3 linked regions of the Bombyx mori genome follow. The protein of the gene in region 1 binds, or shares a complex with, the protein of each later gene. Links are inferred from orthologs where the notes say so. Each region holds a gene or a part of one and is shown in the gene's direction. Other genes may lie near its edges.

Region 1 (4,391 bases):
CCCGTTGAGCCGGATCATCGAACAATGTGTAATATTGTTGCACAAAACCTTTACCGATTGCATCGTACTGCGGATTGAGCGCCATTTAGATTAAGATGTGTCTATTTGTCACTGTAAAAGATTGATATCTTTGAATATACTAAAAAATTGAATAGGAAGGTGTTCACTTAACTTTATTTAAATATTAGGCGTCTACACACCACCAACAAAAAGCCCAATTCCAGCCGAAAAATTCAAGATGTGACGAACTGACGAAAAGGGGCTTGAAAATTTATTCTGCTTGTTGACAGTTATGACATATTTTTTTTTAATGATTCTGAATGTAGTGTCTAAGAGGTATAAGATCATACAACACTACTATTTTCTACTAAAGCTGAGCTGTTTCCACTATTATGGATTAAAAGTATTAAAATCTAATGCTCTGACGTACTTTTTAGGAAAATCCTGTAATATATTTTTCAATTGTTATTAGAAAATAAGTCAAACTTGATCCACGTAATTCTTCAGATTAAAAGTACATTTCTTCTTCTTCGTCGCTTCCTCATTACTGTGGATCATGAGTCGTGACCACCTTGGTCTAATTGCACTAGTTTCCTACAATGCTGCCTGCATTTGGCCTGCTGAATGGCACCCGGAACGCTGGTGTTTGTGGCTTCCTTGGCAATGTCCGTCCATCTGGTTGGCAATCTTCCTCGAGCTCTCTTTCCTTCCACGTGACCTACAATTATTATTTTTTCCAATTTGTCAAGATTTCGTCAGGTCACGTGTCCGAAGTACTTGAGGAGATGCTGCATACAGATCGTAGATAGACAGGTCTTGACGTTTAGCTCCGAGAGAATTGATACATTTGTTCGGCGCTCCGTCCATGATACGACCAACATTTTGCGCCAACATCACATTTCAAATGCGTCAATTTTCAATCGGATACGGGCCTTGAGGGTCCACGTCTCAGAAGCGTACGAGAGTATGGAGAAGATAAGGGTTCTCATGAGCTTTATCTTAGTTTTTTGTTTATGTTGCGATTTCTCCAAATCTTCATAAATTTGATTCAATTCTTAAAAAAAAAACCAAGACTATTTCATTACAGCTTTCAGTATTTTTTAAATTGTAAAAAACAATCAAAAGTCACCGTCCTGTGAGACCTTTTGGCGGGAACGCGAAGAGCGAAGTTGTGTGAATTGTTTTAATTTGTCTATTTAGTATTTCTTTAGGTTTAAATGTGTAATAACGGTGGTTAATTATGAACTATTTAGTATTTATGAATATGCACAAATGTGGGAAAATGAAATAAAACTGCTGGGCGCAGCTTCTCGGGATCTACTGAAAAGTTCACTGAAAAGTCTTAATAAATATCTAACCACTATTTTACTGAGATTATATTTTATCCCATATCATCTCATCTTATTTCATTTAATTTCATCTCTATTAATGAATATCTCCAGTTAATCAACTTAAATTCATTTAGCTTCATATCATTTCCATGAAAGAGAATCTATAATTTATGAATAAACATATCGTATGATACCTTCGTCTTTATACTTGGAAAAATGGAATTACTACATACTAGGTAGGTACGGTACTACTTACTACTGTCAAGTACCGTACTGTCACTGTCATTTCTGTTTACTTTTCAAATTAACTATTGCAAATATTAGTCGCCGTAGGTACATAGGTAGGTAAATCATTTAGTTTTGGGTACAAACTATTGAAGTTTAATGACATCGCTGACTAAAAAATCAAATTAATATCTATAATGTATACTAAATGAAATATACTGTATAGCTGTGAAAGTCGATTTGAGTAAAAAACTGTAATAATTGTAGAATATTACAGAATACAATAGAAACAGAACAAGCTCACACATAAACTTAACACTCAGAAAATCAATTTAGTTCTACAGAAGCATGTCTCTAGCTGACGAATTACTTGCTGATTTAGAAGAAAATGACGATGGTGAACTCGAAGCTGCTATCGAGAGCAAAACCAAAGAAGAATACGACTTTGCAGTTCCATATCCCGTCTTACCTAAAGAAGAAGAAATCAAGAATGTCTCGATAAGAGAACTCGCGAAACTAAGATATTCTGATCGTCTGAAACGTGTATGTATTTAATAAAGTTTCTTGAAGAACAGTTTAAATATAAATTACAATTTTTCATGTAAACAACTTTTAGGTTATGAGTGAAATAGAATGTAATGCTGGAAATAACAGAAATAAGGTTGAAGTTGCTGGCTTAATGGAGTCTGACCCTGAGTATCAACTGATTGTGGAAGCAAATAATGTTGCTGTTGAAATTGATGGTGAAATAGGTATGCATTCCAATCTCCATTTTTCATGTGTTGATTTGTTTATTAAAACAGTTTCAGAGAATTGAACTTTTATGATTGAACGTAGTGTTAATAGTTCTCTTTTCATGAAATTATTATCTTGGTTGTCTAATTATTACTGCTTACAATATTAAAGTCAAGAAATGCAAATTTTCAGCTATTATTCACAGATTTGTCCGTGACAAATATCAGAAACGGTTTCCTGAATTGGAATCTCTAATCATCACTCCATTGGAATACATAAGGACAGTGAAAGAACTTGGCAATGATTTGGACAGGGCTAAGAATAATGAAATATTACAGAGTTTTCTTACTCAGGCCACTATTATGATTGTTTCTGTTACTGCATCTACAACTCAAGGGTTAGCTTCTTATTTGTTTTCTATTTGTGGTCTATTTTGTTTGCTAATATAAATCAATGCACTCACTCTGAGAAACATCGTGCCACATGTCATTGCAACGCGAGAGCATTGGTATCGCAGAATTCGACTGATACATGACCACAACCACTCTGTTAAGACTGTACGACTAGGAAGAAGAAAGAATAAATGTAAATAAAAATGTAGAAATGCAACATTTCAAATTCATTTAAATTATTATAGTGGACTAGAGTACAAAACAGGGACTTTGAAGATTTATTTTGATGAACATTTTGTGTAAAATAGTTACTTATTAAACAACTCAATCATTTGACAGGAAATTACTAAGCCAAATTGAACTAGAAGAAATCAATGAGGCCTGTGATATGGCAAGTGAGCTGAACAATTTCAAATCGCAAATATATGAGTATGTTGAAAGTAGAATGACTTTTATTGCACCAAACATAACTGCCATTGTTGGTAAGTGATACATTCTGTTGCCTATAATTACTAATATAAATTCTATTTAACACTCCCAAAACGATTAGTGGTAACAATTGTGCAATCACCCTTAGCCAACTGCAATTATTCCCCTCATCATATAATTTCCAAAATAGCAGAGTATTAGAAGGACCAAATGCCTCTTTCTGCATTTTTTGAGCCTGGCAGATTGTAAGTGCATCAGAACTCTAAATTGTAACCCTTTTAAAATAACATTTGCTTGGCAAAGTAGAGAAACGATCTGTTGTTAGAACGAGATGTTTTTTCTGTAGCAATTTATTCCCTTTTTACAATGCTCAGGAGGTCTGACCTGTCTGGTAGTTTGCACTCTGTTCTTGTCCATCATTGGATGGCCTTATTTATACTAAAACTATATCCAAAAATTTGTTGAGAGTGCTCGGGTTCTACGTTTAACAAGCCACCCTCCAATGGTCTAGACATTAAAATAATTTAACTAATCCCCCTCGCGACAAAATATTTAACCATATTGATATATTGGTAGTTGTTAATCAACTACAATAGAATATTTCTTAAATGAATGTGAGCATATTAAATGAATACTTTTTCTAATTGAAGGGTATGTGTGAATGAGTTCAGAATTATCCTGGTGATAAGTGGTTATCGAAGCCCATAGTAAGCACAATGGCACCACAAGCTCTTAGTTATATTTTATAACCCATCACACCATCCAAGCCAGAACTTAACTGCTTCATGGCACAAATATCCAAAGACAATGAAAACTACCCATGCGGGCTTACAATATGTTGTACCACCTGCGAATTTCTATCAAAACTATGTATTTCAGGAGCATCAACAGCAGCAAAAATCCTTGGTGTGGCCGGTGGATTGTCTAAATTATCAAAGATGCCAGCGTGTAATGTGTTACCTCTCGGGCAACAGAAGAAGACACTGTCAGGCTTCTCGCAAGCAACAGCTCTACCTCATACTGGGTTCATTTATTTTTCACAAATTGTACAAGATACAACACCTGTGAGTAATTTGAATATGATGATAATATAATATGAAAACATATTTTTTTAAGTATGACAATGGTATATTGAAGTTTTTGGTACCGAAATGTATTTTAGCCGTTTTACTCAGACTTAAACATTTTCTACTCCTGCAGTATTTCAGTTGAATTCTTAAAGATGTGATCACTATAAGCGAATAAGGTTTTTGAAACAGCCATGTTTCTGGCTACAACT
Region 2 (2,811 bases), on another chromosome or scaffold:
GGGGTCTTCCGACGTGCTTGGGGCATGACGAGTAACTCTGTTAATTATGGACAATGTTATTATGAAGTAAACATCTTTACAACTGTTGAACTGCAAGTACAGTTTTAATATTTTTCTGGGTATTTTAATTATTTTATTGAATATCACGTCATAGTATTTTACCATTATACTTTTTCTCGCTCTGATGACCAGATTTGAAGATACAAAAGTAACGCTTACAGGTGTAAGTGTAAACTCAAAAAATGTAGGTACTGGGTAATGTATTATTTATCAAATATACTAAACTAATTGATCGTAATAAGCGATTAAGAATCTGATTTTCAAAAACCGTAACCGATTTTTAACCGTAATTAAATCAAGAATTAATAAACTTAACTAATTAATAAAGAGAAAAACTAAAATTTGGAACACGAGGTCTCCTTGGAATATTATAATTGTACAGAAATAGTTTCAAACTTACGTTAGACTCAAAACAAGAAATCTATTCCTAATTTCTCACTGAAGGGCTTGAACTTATTATCTTTTTACCTATTTAATTGATTTTCGTGTGAATATGAAAATTATTCTACCGACCGGCTAACAATTGAAAACATTTTTTTTCACAGGATTGACAATTGACAGCTGACCGACAAATTAAAGGCATTGAACTCTGTTTTTTTTTTCAAATTTAGGATATTTTCTAAGGGATTTTATGACCTAGTAACTAAAACTTTTAGGTCAAATCTTATTTTAATTTATTTAATTCTTATTTTTACGAAAAATGATAATATAGAGTGAAATGAAATGAAGATGAAATGAAGTGAGATGAAATTAAATGAAATGAGATGAGATGATGTAGGATGAAATATAATCTCAGTAAAATGGTGGACATTTACTAAGACTTTTCAATTGGCTCTTTGGACGATCCCAACAAGCTACGTCTAGCGGATTTGTTTCAATTTCCCACACTTGTGCACTTTCACAGATATTATACAGTTAAACCTGAAGAAACAATAAATAGACAAAATAAAACAAATCACACAACTTCACTCCCCGCGTTCCCGCCAAAAAGTAAAAATTTATGATAATTTTGACAGCTCACAGTAAGGATGCTAAAGTCATTGACTTTGGATTATCGAACATAGATTTATTCTCATGGAACTAGAAATTGATAGTTGCATGGACAGTAAGCTGTATGGTCAAATTAAAACAAAAAAAGTTACATTACATTTAACTATTAAGTTCAGCAACAAAACCCTTCAACACCAGTTTCGATACGTTCTTTTTTTTCATCATTTATCCTATTGAATGCAATTTTTGTAGACGGGTTCACCTTTAGAATAAATTGAAACCAGGAATGAGATTTCTAATTATTTATTACTAATACAATGGTGTGCAACGTAAATTGTTTTATTATTATTCATCATCATCACAAGATTCACTACTACTAGAACTGTCCCTTAACTCTCCAGTTGGACTCGTCTACTTGTAAATTCTTGTTCACAAACTTCATTACATTACCATTGAAGCAATTTTCACTTCTTCTCAAATATTAAGTGTATTATCTGTGCGTCTTCTGACAACTGAGCACTGTCAGTGTCAACCTAAAGTCCTAAAGTAACCTAAAAAAACAAGAAGTTGACAATACACCAAACAACGCGAAAGTAGGAAAATAAACTTCTAATACAAATAAATAATAAACTTCAAAACGAAGTTGATCATTACATCAAAATGTTGCCGCTATCTTTGTTACGGACAGCGCAGAACCACCCTATGCTTGTCGAATTGAAAAATGGCGAAACTTACAATGGTCATCTCGTAAGCTGCGATAATTGGATGAACATTAATTTACGTGAAGTTATTTGCACGTCGAGAGACGGCGACAAGTTCTGGAGGATGCCGGAATGTTATATACGTGGTAGTACGATCAAATACTTGAGAATACCGGACGAGGTCATCGACATGGTGAAGGAGGAGACACAGGTTAAAGCGCGCGGTCGTAACGAGGTTTCCAAGGGACGCGGGCAAAACATGAGGACCGGTGGCCGTGGTGGTAGCCGAGGCGCATTCGGTAACCGCGGCAGAGCACCTCCACTAGCCCGTGGCGGCGGGAACCCGCGACCACAGAACAAAAATAAAAATAAAATGTAAGATAAGTTTTTTAATAAATTAAGTTATTTGGCTAAGGAATAGTTTTGTTTCATTTAAAGTTCAAAATTCCTCCATACATGCTGGTGCAAAGCAACCATATATTTGACCAAATCCAAGATTATTTATTAGTCATAATCCTGATGTAGAATTCATTGAAAATCAATAATATCTAAATAATTTGGAAACTGCAGATGCACAGGTAGTTATGAATTCATCAATCCATTAATATAAAATATTTAAGCTACCCATATCTCTGTTAAATCTAAAATGGGATACAACTTTATTATTTCTTGATATTTTAAGAAAATACATTTTTTTGTTTTATATCTTTAATTGGTTTTCACACTATTCAATTCGTGTCAATATATAAAAAAAATCAAAGTATACTGAAATCATTTATTTACAAAAAACGCTTAAAGTAATAATACTATTGTATAATATGGCAATACCCATTAATGAAATGGTAAAAAACAGAGTAAAAAAAAACAGTGTAAAAGCAATATTTTAATGATGATCCTTGAAACTTGATACAGATAGAGTTATCACATTTGAATAGAACACTTACTTAATTTCTAAGCTGCTAAGAGATGAGGAGTTCCATAGTCAGGATGTTGATCCTGATTATCACAGTTGACAGACCATCAGACTATCTCATCAGAGTTGTCTAATTGTGACCATTTC
Region 3 (2,436 bases), on another chromosome or scaffold:
AGAAGCATTACTCGGTAATATGTTGCACAGTGTATCACAGCGGTCGGGGAACTTTTTTAATTATTACCCCAAAATATATTTTTTTAAGTTGGTTGGTTGGGTAATTACCCCATGGCGAAGAACAAAAAAAATATGAAATCGCTTCTTTTTAGTATCTTTCATATTATAGCCCCGATGATAATTTTCAAAAGAAAAAACTAAAAATTTAATTTAAGCATCATTTATTCAATTTATCAATGTAATACATAGTAATACATAACGGTAATAATAGTAATATCTGTAATATACAGTTGAGGAAAAAAAATCACCCCCACAGAGAATATAAGTAATTGATAATTTCTTGTTATTTTATAATTCACACGATGCCTACAATAAAATACCTGGGTCAATCACGTGAACTTTGTGTTTCCAAATAATGTGTTCTATCTCATTCTCTCGCCGGCTGAATCCTATATATTTATGTGTTTGTGTCTCTATGGACTTATTTTTCGTTTCGTTTAATTTCGTTTCATCGAATTTGAAATCACAACGATTCTAAAGAAGCTTCACTTCAATATATACTTTTTACTCACAAAAGTTTCATTTTTACGCCCCAAAATTTCATTTTAGGTAATTTACCCCGGTTCCCTGGCTGCTGGTGTATCATAATAATTTGTGAATATATGATCCGTCAGATCTTTTCTACCCAATTTACACGCTTTATATTAACTTCACTTGTATGTATGTTTGCAACTGACTCCTTTAGACGCGATTTTGACCCACTTTAAACGGCCAGAATTCATTCAAACTTTGTAGATTTATCGAGGACCGATAAAAAAATACTAATTTGATAAGATTATTCCATTATTCAATTTATAAAATAAGATTTTGGTCAATTTATATAATTTTTATCTATACTCGATAAGGCAGGAATTGATGTTAATGTACTTAATAGTTTTAAAAATACGCTTTTAAAGAAAATTTAAAATACATAATAGTTTAAAAAACTAAAAAAGACACTTTATATAAAATTCAACTAAAAAATTAAAATAAATTTTAATAAATTTAAATTGAAAATAGTGTAAAATATATTTTATTTAAAAAAAAGAGTGGGGTGCTTTTTAAGATATTATTGAAATAATAATTCTTCTACTCATATCTGTCAGAAAAATATTTATAACTAATAACACCATGCACCCCATGCTTTTTTTACAATAAAATATATTTTACACTATATTCAATTTAAATTTATTAAAATTTATTTTCTATTTTTTTAGTTGAATTTTAGATAAAGCGTGTTTTTTATTTTTTTAAACTATTATTTATTATGTAGTAATCATGTAGGTAGTAATAGTAATTGTAGTAGCTATTATACTAATCTGTGTAGGTACACATTTCAAATAATAATCTGTGGCAGCTCCCTGAAATTTGAAAATTTCTTATAGTTGTTTGATGTTGATTATTACTAATTTGAATTTATAAATAAAATAATTAGAATGGCTTCTGGACTCGAAAATTACGTGAATCAAACAGTGTCGGTAATAACTTCGGATGGACGTAATTTTATTGGCACCCTTAAGGGCTTTGACCAAACAATAAATATTATTTTAGACGAATCTCACGAAAGAGTGTTTTCCTCCACAAGTGGCGTCGCTCAAGTAGTACTTGGACTTCACATAATCAGAGGAGACAATGTGGCAATAGTCGGGCAAATAGACGAGTCAATTGATAGCAGATTAGACCTCGGAAACATCAAGGCAGAACCACTTGGACCAATGGTACATTAGAACTAGTTAATAAATGTTTTGTTATCAATCGGTGTTTCATTTGGGCAAATAAATATCATATTTTGTATTCGTCTCTTGTCTTGATTTACTAATTCGCAAAGCAGAATACATATTTTCACCCATAAAAATTAATCTTAGCCCTGGCTTGGGTTTTCCATTCTCTGAATAGGATTTGTGATAGCATGCCCTGTAATACCTGTTAGAATAGACAACACCCTGGATATATGTTCATTTCTTTGAACATAATCCTTAGGAAGTTACTTATGATGCCTATTGTAAACTACCAAATTAAGGGTTATATGTTTTACTCTTTCACAAAATACACATGAAGGTTCAAATACATTAAATCCCTGTATAATATATTCACAGGAATCAAAAATATTCATAGGTACTAAAAGAACCTTATTTCTCATTTGCTAATGGGTCTCATCACAATCAGCTCAGTTAGCCTGTTACCAACACAATTTTTTTAATGTGTTTGTGCTCTAGTAACTGGCATATAAATAACCGTTTTAGAATAAGCATAATAGCATTTCTTTTAATCGGCAAAGCCAAATAAACAAGAAAAAGATGCTTGAATTTTTTATTTTAATCGTGTCACAAAAAATGTTTTAGCATTGGTAATTATTTCATTGGAAAAATCACATTCCATTGATTAAATAAAAAGGAG

The links.
Region 2: U4/U6 small nuclear ribonucleoprotein Prp31 (region 1) and U6 snRNA-associated Sm-like protein LSm4 share a complex: the UniProt entries of both Homo sapiens proteins name them as parts of the U4/U6-U5 tri-snRNP complex. The link is inferred for Bombyx mori from reciprocal best matches to the Homo sapiens genes PRPF31 and LSM4.
Region 3: U4/U6 small nuclear ribonucleoprotein Prp31 (region 1) and U6 snRNA-associated Sm-like protein LSm8 share a complex: the UniProt entries of both Homo sapiens proteins name them as parts of the U4/U6-U5 tri-snRNP complex. The link is inferred for Bombyx mori from reciprocal best matches to the Homo sapiens genes PRPF31 and LSM8.

What each region holds. Positions count from the first base shown.
Region 1 is NC_085116.1:12,784,437-12,788,827, reverse strand, and holds the start of U4/U6 small nuclear ribonucleoprotein Prp31, read left to right. Parts: upstream 1-1,549; 5' UTR 1,550-1,672; exon of another isoform or gene 1,673-1,892; 5' UTR 1,893-1,904; coding exon 1,905-2,099; intron 2,100-2,172; coding exon 2,173-2,308; intron 2,309-2,483; coding exon 2,484-2,688; intron 2,689-3,022; coding exon 3,023-3,165; intron 3,166-3,991; coding exon 3,992-4,176; intron 4,177-4,391. Other genes in the region: probable nuclear transport factor 2, read right to left, coding at 1-85. UniProt on the Homo sapiens protein: Involved in pre-mRNA splicing as component of the spliceosome. Required for the assembly of the U4/U5/U6 tri-snRNP complex, one of the building blocks of the spliceosome.
Region 2 is NC_085117.1:3,992,125-3,994,935, forward strand, and holds U6 snRNA-associated Sm-like protein LSm4, read left to right. Parts: upstream 1-1,343; 5' UTR 1,344-1,710; coding exon 1,711-2,130; 3' UTR 2,131-2,169; downstream 2,170-2,811. Other genes in the region: guanine nucleotide-binding protein-like 1, read right to left, coding at 1-26. UniProt on the Homo sapiens protein: Plays a role in pre-mRNA splicing as component of the U4/U6-U5 tri-snRNP complex that is involved in spliceosome assembly, and as component of the precatalytic spliceosome (spliceosome B complex).
Region 3 is NC_085112.1:10,370,801-10,373,236, forward strand, and holds U6 snRNA-associated Sm-like protein LSm8, read left to right. Parts: upstream 1-1,366; 5' UTR 1,367-1,475; coding exon 1,476-1,766; 3' UTR 1,767-1,794; downstream 1,795-2,436. UniProt on the Homo sapiens protein: Plays a role in pre-mRNA splicing as component of the U4/U6-U5 tri-snRNP complex that is involved in spliceosome assembly, and as component of the precatalytic spliceosome (spliceosome B complex).